2 linked regions of the Canis lupus familiaris genome follow. The protein of the gene in region 1 interacts with the protein of each later gene in a pairwise test. Links are inferred from orthologs where the notes say so. Each region holds a gene or a part of one and is shown on either strand. Other genes may lie near its edges.

Region 1 (3,226 bases):
AAAAAGTTTGGTGTAATAAATGTCCAGCATCCAGAACACATAAAGAACTCTTACAGCTCAACAAAAAAGGGAAAAACAACCCAATTAAAAAGTTGGCAAAGGACTTGAATAGACATTTCTCCAAAGATATACAGATGGCCAATGAGCATTTGAAAAGATCATTTAGTCATTAAGGAAATGTAAATTGTGACCAAATGATGGATGGACAGAAGGAAGGAGAGAAGGAAGGAAGGAGGATGAATGGATGGGAGAGACAGAGGGAGGGGAGGATAAAGAAGGTTTGGAGAGGATACAAATTGAAACCTGTGTATGTGGCTGGTGGGAATGAAAAGTGATAGCCTCTGTAGAAAACAGTTTGGCAGTTCCTTAAAAAGTCAAACTGAATTATCAAATGACTCAGCAACTCTATTCCTAGGTATATTCTCCAAACAATTGAGAATAGGGACTCATATACTTCCGCACACATGTTCATACCAGCATTATTAACATTTAGCCAAAACATGGCAACAACACAAATGTCCACTGAGGGAGGAATGGATAAACAAACTGTAGTTTATATGTACAATGAAAATTTTTCAGCCATAAAAAGGAATGAAGTATTGCTACATGCTGAAATGTAGATGAACCTTAAAAACATGCTAAGTTAAAGGAGCCAGACAGACACAAAAGGTCATACAGTGTATGAATTCGTTTTATGTGGCATATCCAGAATAGGGAGACCCAGAGAAGTAGAACGCGGATCGGTGGTAGCCAGGGGCTGGAGGCTGGAAGAAGTGGGATGGGAAGCAGCCCTGTAATGGGTGTGGGGTTTCGTTGGTGTGATGAACATGTCTTGGATCTAGATAACCAGATAGACGTGGTGGTTACATAATACTGTGAACGTACTAAATGCCACTGAATTGCTCACTCGAAAATGGTTAATTTTGTTATGTGAATTTTATCTCATAAAAAAAAAAAACAATCACAGAAAAATAAGTTCAGAGCAGCCCTTCCATGGAGACACCATCTACATGGACACCGATCTGAAATAGATATGTCACATATCCTTGAGTCTGAGATTTTGGGTACAGGAATAAAGTGCAGTAGATAAGATTTTCTCCTCCCTCACATCTGCTATGGACCGTTTGGATCTATTTTTCCACAGAATACACCCAACAGATATTTTAACAGATATAATTTCTTCATTTTTCTTGGGGGATGGGGAGGGGAACTGGTTTTAAAAACATAATGCAAAGGCCCAACTGAAAAACAAATATATCAAATTTTGAAATTACTGCTATTTTATTCTTTTTTTTTTCATATTTACTGACGATAAGGAACTAAAACCACCCTCCAAGTAAAATTATTAGCTACTCAAGGGAGCATACCAACAGATCATAATAGCTATTTTTCACAGTTGCTTGAAAGTATGTCAGAACGTTTGAATGTAATTTTAATTAAACAAATTTGCAATTAGGAGTACAATCTTGCCATTTTCCTATTACAGCATGAGCTAGAAGAACAAAAATCCTCCTAGTAGTACCATAAGCAGGAAACCTAAGTACAAGTATTATTTAAAACAATTAAACAGTGTAATTACGATGTAGAAATGTATTCATATGTTACAGGATCCAATTTCAATCTCCACCTGGTCCAGCCATTGGCCAAATAAAGCTGCTGGGGGGGGGGGGGGGGGGGGGGGGGGGGGGGGGGGGGCGGGGGCACGGCCAGGGCAGGCAGGACACAAGACATTAGAAGAGTTAAAGGCAGGAAGGAAGGATGTCCCAGAAAAGGACATGAGGATATGGAGGGGCTCCTGGCTAAAATCTCTAAAACACATATGTTTTCTGAGAAGCACTTGAAACAGCTCTGCTCTGAAGGTTGGAGGGACCTTGAATCTTGGTTTTTCTATTAACCATTAGGATTTTTCCATCTTGAATATCTGTATGGATCTCCTTTACTTCACTATGCTAAGAATAGCTTCTTCAGACTAGTCTTCCCAAGAATTTGATCTGTTTAATATTGCCAGATATATTTCTGTATCAGATGTAATATCAGATTATTTGGGGTTCATATTTAAATAGATTTTTTTTTGGCAGTAGGAATCCTGAAACGAAGAAATTCAATGTACAGGTATTCCTTGATTCACTCTAGGTTAAAAAAATTAACGTTCTAAATATAATCAAAATCAACTCCTCTCTGTTTTCCTTTTGAGACGTTCCTCACACCTCCTTTTCCTAGCTTTCCTTCCCTCATTTTGGGGAGGCTGTTTCTGCCTTGAGAGGTGAGAGGAGGTCAAGTCTAATTTCAGGAGCTGTGGGTGCTTTGTATTGTGTTGCACTTCTCTTCCCCAGAGGTGGCTTCAGCCTTTGGGGTGGGCGGTTCCACCCAGCAGGTAACCAGGCTGCCTGGCCTTACAAAACCAAAGGAAAGTATACACAATCTTACTTAAAGAGACTTCTTTCCCCAAATGCCATTTTAAGAAATGCTGATCCAAGTATTGTCCAAATTCCAAATTCCATTCATATTTTCTGGTCTGAATTGCCATGCCCTATCCTTTAAGTTAAACAGGCTGGCTATCCCCTATGAAGCGAATTTTTTTTTTAATAATAAATTTATTTTTTATTGGTGTTCACTTTGCCAACATACAGAATAACACCCAGTGCTCATCCCCTCAAGTGCCCCCTTCAGTGCCCGTCACCCAGTCACCCCCACCCCCCGCCCTCCTCCCCTTCCACCAGACAGAACATAGAGACTCCTAACTCTGGGAAACGAACTATGAAGCAAATTTAATGATGCTGGTCTTAGGTGGGCCACCCCAGCGCTGGGGACTAAGCTCTAACCATCATTCCTGCGTAACTCCTGTTTCTCAGAGGAGGCTAATGGAGATGCTTCACCTGCCCTATCCATCCTTTAAAAGAGCTACAGGGGAAGGGGATGTACAAACGGGTAAGTGGCTGAAAAGTGAAACTTCCCCCACAACATTATTCCAAATGAAAATTACCAAACACACAGGCACAAGGAGGCAGGTCTAGGGGCCAGAGTTTGGACATGTTGTTTGCTGCATCGCACGTCAACCCTCTGTGTTTATCCACTAAGTCAGGTATTCTCTAATTGACATTTGTGGAATAAATATTCGTGAAGGCACAACAGGGGGGAAACGAGAAGAAATGTGATTAACCAAAGTATTTCTAACTTTGAACTTACTACTAGAGGCTTCTTACTGGCCAAATCCGTGTGGTCTTGG
Region 2 (3,746 bases), on another chromosome or scaffold:
GCATTTTATCCCAGAAAGATAATTCAAAAAACTAGTTCTCCGTCTTGACCATCGCCTTCAGTTTATCCTTCACATCCACCATAACCATGCTGTATAAAATTGCAACCCACACCTGTACCCTCAGGCCTCTTTTTTTTTTTTGCTCATCTTTTTCATTTTTCATAGCACTTATAATTTTCTAAATGATAAGTAACCACATACGTTTACTGTCAATCATTCTTTTCTAGAATGTAAGCTCCAAAGGGAAGGGATCTTTGTTTCTCTTGTTCACTGACATATCTTTTTTTTATTTTTAAAGATTTTATTTATTCATGAGGGAAACACAGAGAGAGGGAGAGAGAGAGGCAGAGAGAGAAAGAAGCAGGCCCCATGCAGGGAGCCTGACATGGGACTTGATCCCTGGTCTCCAGGATCAGGCCCTGGGCTGAAGGCAGCACTAAACCACTGAGCCACCCAGGCTGCCCTCACTGACAGATCTTAAATACCTGGACAGGACCTGATGCAAAGCAGTCACTCAGTATTTATTGAATGAATGAATGGATCCACAATGAGAATTCAGTACAAACTGTATCTGCGGTCAGATTTCACCTTCATTTATGCAGTTAACAAATGTCTCCTGTGCTCTGAATATGGGGGAGACAGAGCCTACACGCACGAATACATACCATTGGACAGTGACGAGTGCTATAAAGCCAAAGGGAACAAACAGGGCAAGAGGTCGGAAGGAGAGCAGTGGCTGTTTTAAATGACTGAGTCACCTTTCTGAAGTGATGGCAATTGTTCTGAGCCTTGAATTAAGACAGGTGCCATACATATTTGGGTGGAGGGGGGAAATGGGCTTTGAGCATGGAAAAAAAAATAGCAAATGCCTCGCCCTAGGGTGGAGGCCCACGTGGTAATAAGCCCAGTAAGCCCAAGGAGGCCGGCCTGGTGGAACTGGGGTAAGCAAGAATGTAGGATACATATTTGCCTTTACCTGCTACTCAGTAACCTGTAGGTATGGATCCATTGATGTATCCACTCACACGGCCTAATAATGCCCCGGGCAACAGATTACCTCTCACCTGGAGTACTCCAGCCCCCAAATGCCTGCATCAGCACATCGTGTAAGAGGACCAGGCACCGTAGTGACGTGGTCAAAAACTGCTCCAAGCAGCCTCAGGAGTCACCAAACTAGCCCAAGGAGCAGAAGGGGGCGAGGCCGGGGGCGAGGCCAGGCTCGGGCCGGGTCCTGGGAGGTGCAAAGCCCGGAGGCTCCTAGAACCGGGCCGGGTCCTGGGAGGTGCAAAGCCCGGAGGCTCCTAGAACCGGGCCGGGTCCGGGAAGGTGCAAAGCCCGGAGGCTCCTAGAACCGGGCCGGGGCCGGGAAGGTGCAAAGCCCAGAGGCTCCTAAAACCGGGCCGGGTCTGGGTAGATGCAAAGGCGGGAGCACGGAGAGCCGTGCACAGGGGCGGTGGGATGGGGGCCCGCGAGGCGCGTCGCCCCCCGGCCGCGCGCGACCCCTGCCGCCTGCACCGCGCGCCGAGCGGCCCCGGCGGCCCCGGGACTGTCCCGGCCGCGCTCCGCTCCGACCCGGGGTGCGACTCCCCCGAGCACGGAAACAACAAGTCCGCGGCGAACTCGCCTTCCAGCTGCGGCCGCGCGGCGCGCTTGCAAAGTTTGCAGCGTCTGGAAGCCTCCGGTTTCCGGGGCCGAGCAGGGCAGGACCTTCCGGCTTCGGACGCGGCTCGGGGCGCCTCCTCGCACCGGCTCGGCAGCTCCGCCCCGCCCCGCCCCGCCCCGCCCGGCGAGCGGGGCCGTCCCTCCTCTGCGGACCCGGGTCGGGGGGGCGGGGTCGGGACCCGGGGCTGCGGGAAAGGCTTTCCGGGCGCCCACGCCGCGGAGGCAGAGACCAACGCGGGAGGTGCCCCACGCGGGCGCAGGCCGGGGGCGGGGCAGGTGACACCCGAGGCCCGCGCCACCGCCGCAGCCAGGACGAGCCCCGGGCCCCGCGGCCGCTGCGCCCCGAGGCCCGCGCACCTTCCGCGCACGCGCAGCGCCGCCGGGCCCGCGGCCGGGGGAGGGGCTCAGAGCCCGCGCCCCGCCCCCGCCCGCGGCTTTGCGCACGCGCGGCGACGCCTCGGCCCCGGCCTCGGCCTCGGCCCCGGCCCCCGCCCGGGCCCCGGGCCCGGGCGGGGGCGGGGGCGGCTCGTCCGCGGTCGCCGCGCCCCGGGCCGGGGGAGGGGGCACCGGGGCCCGCCCGCTCCCAGCGCCGCGCCCCCTGCGGACCGCCGCCGCCGCCGGGTCGCCCTACCTCCGCGCAGCCCGAGCCGCGGCCGCCCGCCTGCTCCGCCGCCCTTCCTGCTCCGCCGGGCCCGCGCGGCGACCGCCTGGCGCCTCCCCCGACGGCCCGGCCTCGGCGGCTCGCGCTCCGGTGCGGGGCTGGGGCGGGCAGGGGCGGGCAGGGGAGGGGGCGGCACGGAGCCTCGCCCCTCCCCCGCCCCCCCCCGCCCCCGCCCTGCTCGCCGCCGCCTCCCGCGCAGCTCCCTGCCCGCCCCGCTCCCCCCGCGCGGCGTCCCCGCGGGCTTGGCGCTTTGGAGGTGCCCGGCCCGGGAGGCTGAGGCGCGCGTGGGCATCGTGTCCTGCGGCCCGGTCCCCGCTCCGTCCCCGGGGTCCTACCCACTGTGTCCCGGGGGTCCTCCCTCCTCTGTACCCGGGGTCCTCCCCGCTCCGTCCTCGGGGGGGGTCCTCCCCGCTCCGTCCCCGGGGTCCTGCCCACTGTGTCCCGGGGGTCCTCCCTCCTCTGTACCCGGGGTCCTCCCCGCTCCGTCCTCGGGGGGCTCCTCCCCGCTCCGTCCCCGGGGTCCTCCCCACTGTGTCCCGGGGGTCCTCCCTCCTCTGTACCCGGGGTCCTCCCAGCCCCGTCCTCGGGGGGGTCCTCCCCGCTCCGTCCTCGGGGGTCCTCCCTCCTCTGTACCCAAGATCCTCCCAGCCCCGTCCTCGGGAGTCCTCCCTACGCTCTCCCTGGGGGTCCTCCCCGCTCAGTCCCTGGGGGCCCTCCCTGTTTTCACAGGGGGTTCCCCCGCTCCTCACCCCCTGCTGTGGGGCCCCAGCCCTGGCCCCTTCTGATAACTACGGAATGTTGACATGACGCGTGACCTGTCTGGAGGGGTGCCCGGAGTTGCCCTGGGGCAAGGGCTTCTGGGCCGACCACACTATCCCTGCACTAACTCAGCAGTGCCTGTGTTACCCTGCGCTGCTGTTGGTCTCCATAGCTTTTAGCAGAATGCACCAGAGCTTTAAAATATGTGGAAATTTCTTCCCCTTTACTACACTCTCGTTCACCTGAGTTGGGTTTGGGTAAAATGCTCCACAGCTACTACTGCCAACCGTTCTGTGCAGTTAGCTGAATGCTTTTACGTTGGTTTTTTTTTTTTAAGGAGGACACAGGTTCAAGGGTTTAAATGATTGACCAGAAAGCACAGACGGGTAGACTGAGATGTCACCCCACAGTGACCACTTCGGTTGTATTTGGTCTGGCCTTTGTCATTCACTGGGGAAAACATCCTTCCACAGTGTCTCGCTGTTTTTATTGCAGCTACTATAGTCGGCAGGCACATCTGTGACCACAGGATAGTCGGTTAAAACTCAGGAGGAGGCTTGCATTTACTTGAGTTTGTAAGTCACCAGCGGGGCAGGAATCTTACCTCCATGGCATTGCCTAAAACCAGCTTTTCCCCTGAAACCATCAGTTACACTTTTGGCCT

The links. The genes of interacting proteins can lie anywhere in the genome.
Region 2: the proteins of FARS2 (region 1) and RCBTB2 interact in binary tests that used the Homo sapiens proteins (3 or more experiments, as listed by UniProt). The two-hybrid records come from large-scale screens. The link is inferred for Canis lupus familiaris from reciprocal best matches to the Homo sapiens genes FARS2 and RCBTB2.

The regions. Positions count from the first base shown.
Region 1 is NC_049256.1:7,060,235-7,063,460, reverse strand, and holds the end of FARS2 (phenylalanine--tRNA ligase, mitochondrial), read right to left. Parts: intron 839-3,226; coding exon 628-838; 3' UTR 613-627; downstream 1-612. UniProt on the Homo sapiens protein: Is responsible for the charging of tRNA(Phe) with phenylalanine in mitochondrial translation.
Region 2 is NC_049243.1:2,982,658-2,986,403, reverse strand, and holds the start of RCBTB2 (RCC1 and BTB domain-containing protein 2), read right to left. Parts: upstream 2,396-3,746; 5' UTR 2,294-2,395; intron 1,769-2,293; exon of another isoform or gene 1,625-1,768; intron 1,360-1,624; exon of another isoform or gene 1,065-1,359; intron 1,026-1,064; exon of another isoform or gene 977-1,025; intron 1-976.